Linked DNA regions of Styela clava. The main gene of each other region encodes a partner of the protein of the gene in region 3 in a complex. Links are inferred from orthologs where the notes say so. Each region holds a gene or a part of one and is shown on either strand. Other genes may lie near its edges. The genes, in order: transmembrane protein 107-like, meckelin-like and tectonic-like complex member MKS1.

Region 1 (6,252 bases), on a different chromosome or scaffold from region 3:
ATAAGTTTCAAAAATAAAACTGACAAAAACACATTGTTGCTTACCGATTAATGTTCCTGAGTAAATTAAAATTACTTTCCTTAATTTAAAACTGCTATTTAATTGGGTTAAAACAAGGCATGAATAAATCTGAATTTCACAGATAAACTATATATCATGAGGCCGTAGATTTGACACTTGACAAACACATTAATAAATTCGTTGTCCAATTCCATTCCTTTTGATAATTTTGGAAGGCTTAGAAAGTCGCTGATAACGTGCGCGACTGCATTTCGTTAAAATCGCCAATTGTTTTCGTCAGCGTGGCGTGTTTTTAAGACTGTAAACATCTTTACGTCGGTGTTTATATTCCCAAATTTCCCCTGGCTTAGGCACGTGTTGTTCCACGAGGACGACGATTTTTTGTTCTCGTACGGAATTGTGGGTTCATTGTAAAAAACTTTAGTATACTCATATAATCATTAGCAACGAGATGCCGAAAATAATTAATGAAGAGGTGAATCCGCAACCCTAATTTCGGCATTATAAAGTATTAAAACTAAAATCGAAAACGGAAAATAACACCATAAGTTTTGTTTGAGCAGACCTGCGACAGACTAAAAACGATTTTTCATACATTGTAAATCACAAAATTTGATGTTATGTTGGGTTTTCTTTGGAAATCATACAATAGTCACTTAAATCGAAACACAGTCAACTGTGCGCGCGATGTCCCTTTTTATCCATTGTGAAACTACCGCCAGGGCTGCATGCGCGTTTTTCGCGGTATGTGACGACATTTCAGATACTTAATGAAATGTATTTCACTCAATTTTTATTGTAATAAAATTACATTCAACCCAATTGAACCAAAACAAGGTATTTTAAATATGCCCGCATTCTTCATGGATTGCGCAATTGTAAATATTGAGATATTCGTAAGGGCGATATCTTGATTAAAAATAGTCTTGAGTGCTGAACGAAGAAACCCTAATACGACAAATCCTAATATTGCAAAATGCGATCTAATCCATTTTCAGTTGGCAGTTTAGCACTTACTTTATGTTATTTTAGAATAGTAATCTCTCATTTTAGTAATCGTAATAGTAATTTCGACTCAAAGGCGAGTAACGATGAACACAAATAAATTATTATGACAATACATTATAAATGTTCGCATCGGCCACGGATTTAATATTATACGCAACAGAAAACTCGTTATCCAATAAAAAAGTCTTTTTTTAAAGAATGACCTAATTGCGAAGTATGCTCCACGGGAATTTCTGATTCCAATTCTAAACCCTCTCCTCCTTTTTAAAAATCCTAGCTGCGCACCTGCTTATAGTTAATGTCATATTTGAATTACCGCCTCGTTGCCATATTTCGACGCTACTATTGTCAAATTTTATGAAGACTTCTTTGAAAAGTTACAATATTATCCGAGTCAGTATTTTAAAAGTTATCGAATAGCTCGCGGAGCCCCTACGTTTCTCTCACGGAGCCCTAGGGCTCCGTACGGAGCACTTTGAGAACCTATGGCTTAGCCTTAGATGACTTAATTGAATAATAATAATACATCCATTTCACTTTTACTTGGCCTTCATTCTCATGTATAACAACTCTATAATTAGTTTATCTGCAAAAAACTCGTCGTCATGGATTGAATATTGTGCGACAGAAAAGGCCATTTATACACTAAAAAAGTCGGCTCGTTTAACAAACGCTTAATTGCGGCGAATTTTCGATTTTAAAATTCTGTTGTGTTTGGTTTTATTATTTCTTCACACAGAGTAAGTGCGGTTGCAATAAACGCACGTTGGGTCCGCAAAGGTTTTCGCCGGTGAAAAAATAGTCCGCGACCAAAAAAGGTTGGGAAACGCTCGAAATTAGAACTAATGTCAACGGTGAAACAACATTTGACTCGCTTTCGTTTTCTAGCAATTAGTCTTTTTTCTTTCGAAATTTGGGAGTGACTAAAAATAACCCTATGATAACTTTTTCTGCACAAGCCTTAGTTTAGACCCGATCGGTTCTCCAGTCCCGCACAAAACCAATTACGAACGTTTATTTACGTTATACGCAAATACTCTTATACAAAACGCGACCACGATAGATAGACAATGTGGAAGAATTTTCAGAACTCAGCAGTAATAAAATATATTTATATAAAAATAGGGTCCTTTAGCGAAACACCAAGTAAAAATAATTTCAAACTTTTTGATTCATATATGAAGCAGTTAAAATAGAAAGTTTGTTTAAAACGTGCTAACATTTAATATTTACAAAACTAATGCCAAGAATGAAATTCACAATTTTAAAAAAGTTTTAAGGCAAAACTGTGATATGTGACTGAGCCCTGGATCACTATTTGATCATGATTTAGGACTTTCAATTCAACAGATTCTTTGTGACCAGCATGGAGTGGAAGCATTTGATCAGACGCTGAAAAAAAACTTTGCCATTGACTATAAGTTTTTCTTCAATGCTAAAACACCGATGATAACAATAGTCTCAGTAATTGCTGGAAGGGCACTGTAAAAAAAAAAATTGACAGAGCAATGGAAATGGATTTTGTCACTGAATAAAATTATAATAAAACTCAGTGGCTACCATAAGCTTGTTTCTCTCAATTTTGGTAAATTCAGGAGAATTAAAAAGACGGAAAAAAACAATCATATTTTCAAACAAATATTGTTATAAGAGACTTAAACGTAGAGATTCTCTCACAACAATGTTGTTGGGCATTTTGTTACAATGATGCTACTTATAATAACTGGAATTTTTTACATTTCATATACATTCAAAACCTCCAACAGGTCTTTTTAAACTTACAAACTGTATTCAACAGAACTTAGAATTAGTCACATATCAAGAAGTCTCGAAAATCAAGAAAAACAAGAAGATCGACAGTGAAATGACTTAGGGCCTTGGAGTATACAAGAGTGGAAAATATATTGGTCATATGATGCACCATTATTTTAAAATATTCTGTGGCTTGGTCTGATGAAAAGTATATGAGAATAAAAGTTTTGTTGATAATTACTAACCTACAGAATGCAAAAATCCACCAATATAAAGAGCAGCTCCAAGAATCAAAAACGAAAAAGGCGAGAGTGACACTGGCCCCTGCATGAGCCGCAATAGCTGAATAGTTCAGTATAAGGAAGTTGAGGTAAACAATGTGAAATCTCAATTACTAAATACAAATTTTGCTGAATCCCACTTGAGTTCAACCTGCCTTCATAAAAAAATTTGTTAACGTCTTATTCCCCAATAATCTTACATTGAAGATATAAATTAAACACTATTTCCATTTATTGCAATTCAAAATCTTTTTTTATAGAATTAAATAAACTATTTGTTAAAAAGGATACAAAATAGAGACTGCGTGTGACTGAACATTGAAACTCCACCAATAAACCCTCCAAATTCAACCAAAAAGAATGCTAGTGTTATTGAAAGGCCAATAATAAGTTCAGTGTCTCTGGATGAATATTCTGCAGCAGTGTAGTTAATTGGAAGACATGCTTTCACATTCAGATCCTGTAGTAATATTGAACACTTCATGATTTACTCAAAACTAGAATAGAATATAACCAAAGGCACGCACTATTAATTAAATAGGTCAAAAAACTAATACACATTTAATTTGAGGTTTTCTGATAAAAGAAATATTTAAATCAACAATTACGGTAGTAATTTCTGGTGTTTAAAGCTATACATGTAAACATGATGGTCCCAAAAAACTGTGCTAAGAGTTCTGGTGCATGGTGCTCTGAAATACACTTTAGTTGCTACGTTTGTCATAAAATAGCAATTGTATTTTATATACAATATGATAATGAAAAAATACTCACCCTTGACCAGAATATTGATATGACAATCACCAGATGTGCTATGAGAACCAAGAATCTAGTTGGTACCAAACCACTTACAGCTCTCATAATTTTAATATGCGGCGGATTGAATCAATTTACAGGTGACGGTAGATAGGCTTACCCCTGTGAAAACAGAAAATATTCCATAATAAATCTGTGGTACAGCAAAGACAGTTATAGGTGTATATATTGGGAACATATTTATCCTTGGGGAGAGCAAAACGTTTGCCTAATCATGTTGAAAACTACTGCCTCTTGTCCAATTATCAGTTCATCAAGTATAGGAATACATAACTAGAGTGTTTCTTTCAGTTCATGAACTTGATGGTGGCAGGGTAGAGGAAGCCATAACCAAACAGATGATACAAACTTACTGAACCACACTACGATAGCAAGGGATGAGCCTTGTCATAACCGGACAAGGTATTTACACAAGTATTCTAATGAATGAGGTGAGCCAACCCAATTACCTAACTTATTTGCAATACTGTCTGAATATGGTACTAGAATACCGGCACCAAAATCATGAAAATAGTCTACTAAATATGGGATACCAGTAATGGAAAGTAACTATACCAGTAACTATATTTCCATCAATAGTCTTCTATTACTGTGTTATATACAGTAGGCCTATATAAGTTTATTTTGAATTCCCCGATGGGCAACACACATTCTAGCATTTGCTGGATGAGTCTGACAGTTGTACTGGCACCATAATATTGCAGTAAGACGGGAGATAGGCTACAAAATGAGATTAAATCTGTGAATAGTCAATGTATCGTAACTGTAGTACGGTAAGTTTTAGTTATGCACCATAGGCTAACCGGTACCGATAACTCTTGAGATCTAGGACAGTGATACAGTTCGATACCGGTAATAGCATTCTGACGTCTTTGCTTATGCCCCGGTTAAACTTAAATCGCGCATAGACTAGGTACCGTACCGGTATATCTGTACGGTATCGGTATAGTCTAGTCTAGCTCATTTGAAACGTAGGCTATCAGATGATAGTGTTAACTCTCATGAGCACGATCAACCGCTCGATTTAATGCGTAACCAACCCCGTCGCTGCATATGATCGTAAATATATACTACTACGATATGATCGCTAAACTTCTGATGAGAGATGTCTGTACCACTGTACTACTTTATCGGATCACCGAAGAGCGCCGGTATTGAAATTACCGTCAATATATATATAAATTTCATTGAGTGGGTATCTATTAAATATTTACCTGTGAAACGGTGTTTGCAGAGAACAATATTCGAATCGGCGGTGTGGCGCATCGTGCTATACGTTAAGAATACGCTTGCCATCGCACATATGATTAACCTGATTGCTTTAGTCAATATTCATATAAAACTTGATCCTCGTAAAAAAAATCATGTTTATTTCAATTGCTAAAAAAATTATTTTTAAACAAACTTCGAAAAAAAATTAATAAACCCTGAAGGGGATTTAGGATTTTGGTACCGGTACTCGTTGAAATAAGATGATTGTAACAAACATTACTTGCAATGAGAATAAAAACGTTGTGGTCACAATTGGTGATCTGAATTTCATTTATTATTTATAACCGATCATGTTTTTTAATCCTGGGAATATATTTGTGAGTACATAGCATATATCCCAATTATGTCTACCCAAGAGATTGGTTTTCAATCGTTGGTTGTAAATTGAAGATGAGGTATTCCTAATATATGATAGTACTTTCCCCCACCACAGGACGACAGATTTCTTCTATTCATGCATCCATGCATAAAGGGAACAAATAAAACACCCCAGTGAACATATGGATTTTCATATGGGTGGTTGGCTTCTGGGATATTGGGTGGTTCACGTAACCGCTGGTCGGTTACGGCTTCCTCCACCACCAAGTCCATGCTTCCGAAAACAAACAATACAGTAAATCTAATCCCATACCCGACTTGGAATGGTAACCGAACGAGAGGCCGTGGTTCGCCATATGAATAAGCCGTCTTATCGCCTTTCCTCTCCCCCGGGATAAATATGTAAATCCTATCCTATCCATATTCATACTTGACGTAAACTCGTAAACGGTCCCCGTGCGTTGGTTGCTTTCCTAATTTTGTGATCAGTTTTGTCAAATATTTAATCATTATGCTAATTAGAAACTAAAATGATAAGCATATGAATAACCGTATTTCGGTTCTATTATATCGCGAAACATCCTCTTGCTTGTTTTCAACCGATTCCAAAATTTTTGACTCTAAACACTACAATACCGACAACACGCTTGTTCCAATTCCTACACTGCTGTCAGCCTTTAGTATTTGAGTATATTTCAATTTCTGAGCTAACTTAGGCAAAGGCAGTATGGCTACGGTACGGTACCGTACCGGTGCGAAAGTTGCCAGACGATAAGTTGAACAG
Region 2 (6,252 bases), on a different chromosome or scaffold from region 3:
ACATCAACAGTTAAATATATTTGGAAGAAAAATTCGAACTGATTAAACCTCCTCGCTAATGTATACTGCATGGATTCACATTCCCTCTCAAGCCACTTTAAAAACTCAAATTCACTAAACTCGTAGAATCAACTACATTCATTAGAAAAACTATCAATTCTTTACCTACCACCAGACTTGAACAACTCTGAACTTAACAATAATTCATAGAAAGTCAATATATTTTTCACAATACACAAGACATATTAATTAATAAAAATGATAAAACTTACAGTATCAGAAGTTGTTGTTGGTATACTGATGCCATTGAGATTCCCTGCTGTTGTTGAATTAAAACAAAGGCCTCCAAACACTGCTGCAGATGTAATATTGAAACAACATTCCGGACATGGCACACAGCTACAAAAAAAAAATTATAAAAAGAATGAATTTAAGCAAGGAAAATCGTTTAAATGACTAAATACTATGGCAGCATATAGTCAGAATAACGATCTGGGCAAAGCCACGCAGAGTAATTACAAATGTAATGAGAATTGCAAAGATTTTGCTAACACTTAGAATAATGTGCCAACTATTTCCTCTAAATAGAAGAAGCTGCAAGGGTTGAGGCCTGAGGGTCACGAGATCTCGCTTAGATGTTGTTGACAAAACTTTTGAACGATACCTAACCAATTTTTTGCAGGGCTGTATATCTTAAAAACTTTTCAACATGTTTTGAACCATCTCAAAAAAATTAAAAAAATTATGACACGCTCAAAAGAATTCAAAAAAAGGAAAACTCTCAATAAAATCCATTGCCAATGCTGACCTTTATATTCATTCATATCTATTTATCATAGAAGAAATGAGAGAACAAAGTAAGTGTAAGAGAATTTACGAAAGTAATGATTGAATTGAAATAAAAGAAAGTAAAAGCAACAATTACTGAATATATATTTTACAATTAAAACCAATATTTCATTTATTTTTAACTCACTTCAAATTTCCAGTGTTCACCAAAGAAGTTGAAGAACAAGATGAACAAGTTCCAACAGAATCTACTACTGAAGAATATGAAGGTACTGAAAACAATTTTATATTTTACTTTTCTCATTTTACTAAATTGAAACTGATTTATAATAAGCATTTAAGTAAGAACATATTAACAAAACTCGTGGTTAATATGATATGTGTGTTTATTATATGAAATTTGTATGAAAGAAGCATAACTCAATACTAGTGATTGCACACTCATGGCACTATCTATTTGTACATACACCAAGATCATGGATGGATGGACAATCTTAAATAATTGACACAGAAGTAATTTGATATTAATTGAATATTTCAGAATCATGCTTTGATTTCTGAGATCTGATAAACTTGATACAATGAGCCTATTATGAAACCTAATTTGGTAATCTAATAGGTGTGATACTTCTTAATCAAATCAGTCAGGTGTTTCACATGAAATCAGGTGTTTCACAAGAAAAATAATTGTAAAAATATTGAATGGGGCTTTCTGGTTTGTCCTGAATATAATATACTGACAGTATGACAGTACTTTTGAGAAAAATGGTTTTCCAGCAATACCAAAACAGGGGTGTCGCTATGTATGACCAATTTTAAAAGCCACAATAAGCCTAAAAGATTCTCAAATATTGAAATGAAGCATATAAAGTAGCTCATATATAAACATATTACATAAATGAATATCAATGATAACAACAGAAATACACAAAGTGTCGTTTAGTTCGTTCGTTAGCTTGTGGTGTCAAACTGCCTATTACAATGTCAAACTGAATTCAAAACTCTATTAGTTCATTATCAATTCTTTGAAATACTTTCTTATAGCAATCAGCCCTACTTGAAGAAATTATCGTATGCAGTGAAGTGTGAGTCATTTCAAAATATTCCGCAAACCCCATATATGTATGATTTGGCCAAAGTACATGAAAATCATTTTACAGAAAAGTTATGAAAAAAAACAATATGAAAACTTAAGCTAAAGATTTTTGTTTTATTCAATATGTGCCAAGTACTACTGTATGTAAATAAATAAAAATCATTTTTCTTACTAATCAATTGTTGATCCACTGCACATGTACATTGTCCATTTACATCCGTTCCATTTGAGCATGATGAACAGAAATATCCATCTGGAGTTGTTATTCCCTGTTTACAACATTATTAAGGATTATTTCATGTTCAATTACTCACAACTAACAGGTGAAAAACTATTAAACAATCAAAACAAATGACTCGAAAATTTTGGATGGAGTATGATTTATCATTATATGAAATCAATAAATGAAAGTTAAAAAATCTAGTATTGATATAACTTGCTAGAAAAAACTGTAAATGTGAAAAAAATATTTGAATAGACATATTAGTAGGAAGACAAAAAATAACTTACGCTTGAACATGCTTGACAAGACAGAACTCTGACATTGTTGATGTCTGCTTTATAACCTGGTCTGCATGTGCATGAGTAACCTGAAAAATATATAATCAATAATATAAGATTTACATATTTATTCCATAGGAAAGGAAAGTTAATAAGCAGCTATATCACATGGGAAACTACGGACTCCCATTCGGCTACTAGTCCATGCCTGGTATGGGGTTAGTTAGCCAATTAATTTTTTCAGATGCATGAATTTGATGGTAGAGAAAGACGTAACCGAGCGGTTACTTGAAGCGCCCTATGACAGCGTGAAGTCCAGCAGTCCTATCGCAATTTTACCCCACAGGATTCGTACCTATGAACCCACACAGGGTAAACAGGGGTGCGGTGGCAAGCATATTCTTAATGCTTAGCACAAAGCGCAACACCGCCGAGATATTGAGATATGCAAAAAACTAAGAAAATACTTTTTAAGATTATTCGCATTCACCTGAAGAATCTGGCAGCATCCCCACTGGATCTTGGCAATTTCCACATTGTAAAATTCCAAAATTGTAATATTGTTCAGTAGAGCAAGCTGATGGTTGCACGGAAATGAATCCAAACTGTTGACATCTCACACATTGAAATTGGATATACAGAAGAAAAATCGAATAGATGAAAAAACTGAACATTATCTTCGAAATGTTGTATTAACAATTGTCACTGGTTCATAAAAAAAACAATGATCAGTTAAACATAGTAATAGTTTATTTTCTAGAATATACAGATACGGTAATTGAAAAGTCTTGTTGAACATTACGAACCTTTCTTCCAGAGATATCTCTCAGGCTCACTGACCATTCAAAAATCTGAAGATTTACAGATTGATATTGTGAAGCTAAACTTCAATTACTGAATTAATCACAAGTGGTGGTCCATGTTAAAAAAAAATTTCATTTTATTCAAGTAGAAGTTCATCACGAGCTCATTTTATTTTTACCGAATGATAAAATAATTGATAAAAAAACGAATAAAATAAAAAATTATAACTAAATAATAAGGTGATAAATAAAACGAAATAAGTTAAATAAAAACCGATATTAGAATCAGCCTAATCGTCCTAACCAACCATGGCTCTGTTTAAATAAACAGAGCAAATATATATCAAAGAGTTGACAGTGGAAAATAATACTTTCCGGGTAAACTCTTCCACCTTAATGTATTATTCGTCCCTCTGTTGATACACCAAAGATCTGAAAGTACAATGTTGTTGTGTTCGCTGAACCGCTTGATATAACGTAACGCCTTGCCACGCTCGATTAGGCATCAACTTTTTGGGCAAAGAAAAATTCTGCTAGAAGTAGAATTACGTAGGCTACATAATACAGGTTGGGTATAAAAATGGTTAATATAATAAACGCATTCAAGCAAAGTTGCACCTGAATTTGATTGTGCAAATACACATTAGATACTAAATAACATTTCCAGGTATCGTAGATTCTTTTTAATAGCGGTATCTTCATCCATTCATTTAGCGAATACTTGATAGGCCTACTGAATTTTAGCTGCAAAATAGCGAAGTAACAATTCAATGTATGAAATTAACCTAAAAGTAAAAAGCCATTAATAGAACAACAACAGATTTAATTAAAGGAATGTGGAGAGGCGCGATAATTAGGAGGTTTCCCATTAGCGACACCTAGTAATGAGTATAAATATATCGCAACAAAACATTTCTGACGAACATGACCAAGGTCCTGCGCCTGAGTGGCCTGCCAGCCCGGTAGCAAGTCTATGTCCATTGTGCGATATAAGTATTTTCTTTTGCAGTTAATAGGATGTGGCCTGACTAAATGCCGTTTTCAGACGTTGTCACTCGAATTGTCGGGGAAATACAATGCTATCTGATTCACTTCTGTGAAAATAGTTCATTTACTTCTCGCTTTGTATTTTGTATATGGTTTTTCCAAATTGTCTTTGTTGTACACCTTTTTTCGCGTTTGTTGTTTGCTTCCTCATAATTTATTGCTAGATAGTCTTCTGTAATAAAAAAAAAACTCTATGGACCTTGTGTGGATTTTAACCCTAGATCTGTATCATATAGGCTAACACGGTACCGATTTGGGTACAAAGCTCAAACAATTATATAGTAGGGTGACCATACGTCCTCCTTTTGGAGGATTTGTCCGCTTAAATTTTTCCGTCCTCCGAGGACGCTCTGAAACGTCAAAATGTCCTCCTTTTGGACGGGATTAACTATTTTAAAATTCCTTATGATATATATAACCAAAAATTTTTGATGTGTTAAAAAAAGTAAATATAGACTTGTAATCATCATTAGATATGACCAGGATATGACAACTGACAAGCAATGCATTGCGTTATGTTAACATGCGGGGTTACTCTAGAGCAAGCCTGCACAACTCAAATTCCCACGAGGGCCAGAAGCATAAATCTGAAGGCCCGGCGGGCCGCAAACTTTGCCACATACATATTTCACAAGATGAACTACAAATCAAAATAATATTGTGAAACAGTTAAATTTAATGAAACACTTTCATTACTGGGGAGCTTAAAAATATGAAGAATCTTATTTTCTTAAGTAAAAACAAGGTACAGTATTTTTGCATATGAGATGGCAAATATGTATTTAATGGTTCATCTACCTTGAAAACCCACCCTTCATTTTCAATATTTCTTTTTTATTAGAATTAGGTATTGCGTGTTGCAGTATAAACTGACTGCAGGAAAATATTTCACTCAGGTTCCGTTTTGTAAAATCGTCCCAAATATATATATGACAATTTATTTAGTCATATCCACCATTATTGGATATTTCCATTGTAGGCTGGACAAATAATCCGTTTAGTAGCAATAGATAGATCTTCCTCTGTTGTACTTTTTTGACTGTTAAATTACATTGTTTTTACAAAATCTGCTTCAATTTATTTGAAATTTTACAGTAAATAGCAATATCTTTTGTGCGAGAATTTCTTTTTTAAGTTCTAAATTTGATTCAAAAAGAAACTTCAGTTTCATAACCTGCTAGTAAAAAATAACGAGTTATTAATAGGTTGCTAATATGCACTAATAGGTGTGTGATTGTATATCGATATTGTTTTAAGCGTGATTCAGTTTGAATACTGAGATATCTAAATCAGGGTTTCCCAAACTAGGGGGCGAGAGATCGAGCGACGAATTTCAAGGGTCGCGGAGGGCACACCAATTTCACACAACGTTCGATATTTATTGAAACTAGTGCAAAACATAAATCTCACGATTTCGAGTACGATCGGAGTAGCGGCGCGCTTGCATAACAATGCCGGCTTAGGCTGTTAGACCTGAGAAGTGGCGTGTTCCCAAATTACCCGCGGGCCGCACAGAAGTATCTAGCGGGCCGTATGTTGTGCAGGCCTGCCTAGAGGTTAAATGCATAATTGATCTGCACAATCGTTTATGACGTAAAAATCGCATTTATTGTGCAATTCTGTTTTACGTCACTTCACTTTGTATATCGCAATTCCGTGAAGTTTCGATTGTGGCAGATCCTTGCGCTTGTAAACCCAGTAAATTATGCAGAAAAGGAAAACCTTTTTCTCTCAGGAACTAAAGCAAAAGTACCCATGCTTTAGAAAAGGTCGAACTGACAGCGAAGCGGAGTGCATTTCTTGTGGCTACGGTACTTTCGTTTCTGTGGCGAATAAGGGCAAACTCAGCTTACAGTTGCACGTTGAGAGTTCCAAGCATAAAACATCTGTTAGAGGAGAGACATCATCAGCCAAGGTGACCGACTACTTTTGTGCGCCTGGGACTCAAATAGAAGGAAATGTCGCTGTCGCCGAAGCTATAATGGCGTTTCACTGTGTGAAACATCACCAGAGTTT
Region 3 (6,252 bases):
CAGTATATCTATATATCCATATGGAATCTTAATCCATAAGCTGACTAACTTTTCCTCAGCTGATAGTGAACACTAAATTGCCTACTTTTAATTTTTGAACATCATTGTGATACTTGTAATCTTGTACTGTGCCACCAACTGGACTGTTTGAGTAGAATTCATATTCTCTCTGTGAATGAGAATAAACAAATAACAGTTCGACAATAAAATAAGATGGCAGTCTATATAGAAGCAATGTTGTCTAAAATAGGCAGGGTGCTAACCAGAAAAGACACAAATTTTTGAAGGAAATATCTGCAAACTGAAATATGAAAACACAACGAAATGAGGTGAAAAGAGTCATTGCCAGTAAATAGAGACAAACTACAGGGTGTTAAAAAGTTGCACAAAATTAAGGTAGAATTTTTCGTCATGGCAACGATAAAAAGTAACTGTTAAAAAGTCAGTCGTGGTATGTTCAAATGGCATTTCACTGTAATTCAATACTGTTAAAAGGTGTCAGTCGTTAAATGTTTTAAGTAGCATATTTTAACTTCTGGTAATTTTGCGTTACTTTTTTAACACCTGTATATGGACTATCAGTATAACGTCATTGTAATATATAAATGAACCAATTTCGGTGACATTTGTGTGAAAAAAAATCATTACTCACAGCTGAAAAGAACTTCTGTTGCCAACTACAATCTAAATTTTCAGTTTCAAGAATGGTTTGACCAAATTCATTGATGCTTGTGCTAGAAACAGACACAGCAGTGCCACTGTCACCTGCTGCATCTCCTGCTGTTGCAGGACGAGAGGAAAGAAATCCTAGAATTGCTGGACTGACACGTTGGAGATTGATACTGCAAAACAAGTTAAACTTCTTAATTTAGTTATATTGATTTCCCTAAAGCGGGTAGGTATTTTCCATCAGTTACAAAATATATTATAAATAGAAAAAATTGTTGACTAAATTTCTGATAGGTTTCCAATTGTAATAGCAATAAAAGATGAAAATAATGATGATAATCTTACAGGGTATAATATCAATGGATGAATATTCGAAGGTCAAATTTAAATTATTTTTCGATAAGATAATAATTTTTTTTGAAATCCACCATGGTACAAAATAATTACAATACACAAGACGAAAACACTGGATTGAAATACTTAAAAGTTATGAAAACCTCAAATGAGATTGAAAACATGAGACTTAAAGTACTACATAAGCAATGCCACCTTGTGACATGGAATAGGTAAGTGAAAAAACGAGACTATACTCTGTGTTAAGCTCAGGAGCATTGTGATAATACATAAAAATATTTAGAAAATAATCGGAATAAAGTAAATCAATATACATAGAAGACAAAAAACAAACAAGATCTTGGTCATAAGAGACACATTTAGGACTTCGGATTCAATCCAATATTTAGGAATGCATATTTTTCTTAGACAGCTTGTAAATGAGTAGGTAGTAAATGACATAAATAATAAGATCTAAAACTATTGTCGGACATTCTCCAAAAATGATCAACTCGACTCACTAAAAACTGTGAACTAATTACCAATAAACTTTTCCTCATTCAGTATAGCCTAATAAGCATCATATATGTGCACTTGAATATAAATTTCACTGATATGAAGCACAGTTTAATTATAGTGAAAATCCTATTTACAGAGTTAATTGATTGCTTGCTTACCTCAAGGTTTTTTGTAAATGCTATAAATTAAATTATGGCATAGCATAGAACAGCGGCTCCCAAAGGTGGCATTTGCTAAGTGCGCCAGAAAAATTAACAAAATTATGTTAAACAAATATATGATTGAATATTTGAAGAGATATGTTCAGAGAAGAAGCCGCACATCTCTCATTAGATAAATAAGTACAAATGTTATGTTGTTTTGTTGATATTGCCTTTATTCTTTTCACGTTTACAAACTCCGAAAAGCATAAAATACACAATAACGATCACAAAATTATGTTTTATTCAAAGGCAGCAATTTCGTTTTCGTGTAAGTCATGAAATGAGTTTTTTCCCTGACAATTTGGCATAGCAAGAACAAAAATTTTGGAAATCGCTTGCTTAGGAAATAGAGTAAGAGGCTAGTTGGTACTTACAAAATGAACTATTAATCAGATGAAGTATGTGATCTATTATAAGATGAAGTGTAAACCAATCAGTAAATCTTATCGAAACTAAGCTTAACCATGTCTCGCTTTTGTCTAACTAGTGTAGGATTTTTTAATGGTTAAAATGTTGGGATTGTGATAACGCCAAATTTGATACTCTGTCTCTTTAAGGTAATTTCAGTTATAATAATTATCAAAACAATATTGAAAATATATTTAGGATAAATAATTCTGTTTTTACCCTCTGGAGTTGGGTGGAATATAATATAAAATTATCAGATTGGCTCAATCAAGTAAGAACTAGATCTATATTGAAATTACTATTGCATAATTATAGAAGACTGAAATACCGGGTCTCGTGTAGTTTCGTACCTAACGTACTTCTAGTGGGTGTAGCATAACAATTTTTTGATATGTCAATCCTAACCCCCATCTGACTACGCCATCCAAAAATTAAATCACTACGACATCAAAATCACGTCATAGAGCTTGCCAAATATACGCATGATCGACCGAAATGGCATTGGCGCCGACGATAAAGAACTGACTGACGTTATCGGTCTCTCTCCTATTGAAATCGTTGCGACGAGAAAACGAGAGAAATAACTGTTCGATTTCGCAAGTGCAGTTTTAAGTATTCTGTGGCATCTGCAGCTGCCGCAAAACCATGTCGGTATTTCCATACCATGGCCGCTACGGCCAAACTCATGGCAACTGACTTTTTAGCTGCCACAAACCAATGTCGAGCTGCCGTTACCGCGGCAGCAAATTGAAAACCAATGACAGGTAAAATTTTGCTGCCGTAACCGCGGCAGGTGGGCCGTAAAGACAAGGCTGTCTATTATGGTGACAAATATAGGGTAAGTTGGAACGTTTTTCTGATGGATACAGTTTTGATTGATTTGGGGTTAGGGTTAGGGTTTAAGTAGATATAATTCCACATGATCAATTAAAATCTGGTACATTATTTTGTGAATATACCGTTAATACTGATTACTGAATAGCGCTATAAAACCATGGCAAGAGCTGCCGCGGTTCGTTCGTGGCAGGAGCTGCCATGAAGTGGTAAGAACTGCGCCTCCGATTTCGGGTGCTCGTCTTGGATGGCAGTTCGTATAGTTTGAAGGGCTCTATTACGTCACTGTGACGTCGTAATGATGAATAAATGAGTTCAATAAATAAACACTATTAATGATACATTGGTAATAGAATAGCAAGAGGAATTACAAGAAAATAAAGGATGAAATACTGACCTGAGACGAAAATTTTTAATGGGGTCTCCCGAACGATATGTTGCACCACCAGTATCTACTTCATAAGATTTGTCCATGTGTTGTGAGGTTAAATATCAGTTGCACCAAATAATTCAAAATCGAATAACACGAATAACTACGGTATGTCCTGAAAGCTGGTTACAGAAATACTGGTACTGTCCACCTTGCTTTAAACAGTTTTGTCGAATCCCAGGCACGATAAGTGTTTTGATTGACACATCTCTACATAATATATCAAGCGGTCGAGTGGCCCGGGTCAAATAGATTTGGCGAGGTGATCTTTTGGTCGTAAAAAAGTAAAGAAAGGTTTCAATTTTCCCAATTTTTATACGGCGTAAAACATGTTATCAACCGTGGAAAATTATTCCTGCAAAAATAGATAAACTGCCAGTCCACGTGAAAAAGTGGAAATTATATAAAACTCGTTTTTAAGAGCAAAGCTATTTCTATGTTACCAGATGTTTCTATGTCTATAAAATGTCATGTTCTATTAGTATAAATAAGAGGATCTTTTGACGGTACTTGATTCCCTAGCCAAAACGTGTCTTCAGTCTGAGCGGAGTCGCTGCTCTAAACGCACTCAATTTAAATCTGTTTTATTTTCAAGTTATCTCTTGATATGCATTTTTAAAAATTCATTTCCTTTCCTATTAATTGAAAGTGATTTGTATATCACACGTATCTATTCAGTTGTGCGGAACGTTAGTTGTAATGCAAAAACGCAAAAACCGAGTGTTGATTAAAGTACCAGGTATATCAGCAGAGCACTTTTCCGGATTATGAAGAAGGTGCACTCCCACAAAAAATTCGATAGATTCATGATCGCTAGCGTTTCAGTGCCAATTTCAAGAATATCAGGAGCACAAATTGCCACCGTCCTAGACGTTCAAGGCTTCTTGTCAAGTGCAGTTTCAAGTATTTTGTGGCGTCTGAAGCTGCCGAATAACCATGGTGGGATTTCCAAACAATGGCCGGTATGGCCAAACCACGGCTTCTGACTTTTTAGCTGCCACAAACCAATGGCGAGATGCCGGTACCACGGCAGCAAATTGAAAACCAATGGCGGGTAAAATATTGCTTCCGTAATCAAGTCATGTCGGCTGTAATGGCAGGGCTACCCCTGATGGTGACATATATCGGGTAAGTTGGAACATTTTTTTTATGAATACAGTTTTGATGAATTTGGGGTTGGATTTCAGGTTTAGGTAGATATAATTCTGCATGATAAACTATAATCTGGTACATGACTTCGTGAATATACCGATAATACTGATTACTGAATAGCGCCATAAAACCATGGCAAGAAACGCCGCGGTTCGTTCGTGGCAGGAGCTGCCATGAAGTAGTAAGAACTGCGACTCCTGCTTGTAGAGCAGGGGTCGGGAACTTTTTCAGTCAAGAGAGCCATAAAAGGTACATATTTTCACTGCATTTCCGTGCGAGTCATATAGCATTTTTCACTTAATCAGGCCTGAAATTTTTACTCAAAAGTCAACACATAGGCTACAATGCCAATATACATTCAATGTGACTTGTGAATTGTGATGCTGCATGTTGTCTCTGCGGGCTTTGAACGGCTGCTCACATGCAGCACAAGTTGAAATCTACGATACTCATCAGCCATCACCCTTTTTGGTTTAGGCATCTCCTTAGTATTTCAAAAACTAGCTATGCTAGTCCGATTTAAATATGACAAATACTGTAACTAGTATGTACGAACGGACGAAAAGCTTCATTCTATTACTCCTCGGCTCTATCGCTTTGTGATGTCAAAAAATATGTTCCAGAATCTCCTAGTTTTGTCACAATGCCTGTCTGATAATTCTCTTATATAATATGAATTCTTAATAATCCATAGTCGAACACAATATATAATACAGAATAGATCAAATTTAATTCTGCAATGCCATGCTAAAATAAGGTAGATTTCAGTTATTGCGATATTTTCCCGGGCTGAACCGGCCGATTTGAGACACGAAGCAATTGAGAAATCAAATTAGCAAAAATTCCAGTTTGTTTGGGATCCCAATAAATGATTGAAATACAATGAAGGTAATCTGACTCATTTTTCTGGTCTGCATTCGCAAGACACCCCTCAATTTCCGATCTGCTCCTTTAGATATATATATATAAGTGTGTGTGTAACAGCCGATTCTTCAGCTTTTTGGGACCTGTCACATCGACTGAGGTGTGATTTTAACAAACGAAATACTGATATCCCATATGCTAATATTAGGTAGGACGCCGTATAAATATACTATACAGAGACGTTGGTGTCAGAAATGAAACTTATATTTATTTATTCTATATATAACAGAAAATTAGTGATATCACACGATTGCTGATAAAAGTACAATTATCAAATAGGAGACAGTGGAGTATAAGGCAAAATTGCATCAAAACGGTAATCAAAATACAAGGTCATTAAAAATCACGGATTGAGGTTGAATTTCCCATATAGACGTTGTTAAAAATAAAATATTATTCCGAAGACAATTTCTGAATGATTCCTTTCCCGCCGTCGATCATGATATAATCTCCTAAAAACAAAAACAGTATTTTCATCAAAAGCACTTAATTGGGTAATATAATACAGTAAATGCTTTTATTTTTCGTTATTAAGTGTTTTTTCCTGCACTAGTATATATACCCCGGATGTGGTTCAATGCAAAAATTAATTTTTCTAAAAATATATGAATTGCCACATTAATATACATTTTCTACGGCATTACAATTTGAAATAGTCGAATATCACTTTTTATTGTATACTCGATTAGGTAATATTATTATTATTCTACTCAAAAATTACCCATATATACCATTTTAATTGTTTTCTAGAAAAATTGACCCTGTAAAATCATATAACTA

Evidence for each region.
Region 1: tectonic-like complex member MKS1 (region 3) and transmembrane protein 107-like share a complex: the UniProt entries of both Homo sapiens proteins name them as parts of the tectonic-like complex. The link is inferred for Styela clava from reciprocal best matches to the Homo sapiens genes MKS1 and TMEM107.
Region 2: tectonic-like complex member MKS1 (region 3) and meckelin-like share a complex: the UniProt entries of both Homo sapiens proteins name them as parts of the tectonic-like complex. The link is inferred for Styela clava from reciprocal best matches to the Homo sapiens genes MKS1 and TMEM67.

What each region holds. Positions count from the first base shown.
Region 1 is NC_135256.1:19,255,903-19,262,154, forward strand, and holds transmembrane protein 107-like, read right to left. Parts: upstream 3,981-6,252; 5' UTR 3,924-3,980; coding exon 3,837-3,923; intron 3,523-3,836; coding exon 3,354-3,522; intron 3,124-3,353; coding exon 3,027-3,123; intron 2,512-3,026; coding exon 2,445-2,511; 3' UTR 2,121-2,444; downstream 1-2,120. UniProt on the Homo sapiens protein: Plays a role in cilia formation and embryonic patterning. Requires for normal Sonic hedgehog (Shh) signaling in the neural tube and acts in combination with GLI2 and GLI3 to pattern ventral and intermediate neuronal cell types.
Region 2 is NC_135263.1:15,829,512-15,835,763, reverse strand, and holds the start of meckelin-like, read right to left. Parts: upstream 3,928-6,252; 5' UTR 3,061-3,927; coding exon 2,877-3,060; intron 2,476-2,876; coding exon 2,396-2,475; intron 2,155-2,395; coding exon 2,058-2,154; intron 1,062-2,057; coding exon 977-1,061; intron 400-976; coding exon 273-399; intron 1-272. UniProt on the Homo sapiens protein: Required for ciliary structure and function. Part of the tectonic-like complex which is required for tissue-specific ciliogenesis and may regulate ciliary membrane composition.
Region 3 is NC_135257.1:11,289,869-11,296,120, reverse strand, and holds the start of tectonic-like complex member MKS1, read right to left. Parts: upstream 3,825-6,252; 5' UTR 3,441-3,824; coding exon 3,364-3,440; intron 843-3,363; coding exon 653-842; intron 170-652; coding exon 86-169; intron 1-85. Other genes in the region: rifampicin phosphotransferase-like, read right to left, coding at 5,866-5,924. UniProt on the Homo sapiens protein: Component of the tectonic-like complex, a complex localized at the transition zone of primary cilia and acting as a barrier that prevents diffusion of transmembrane proteins between the cilia and plasma membranes.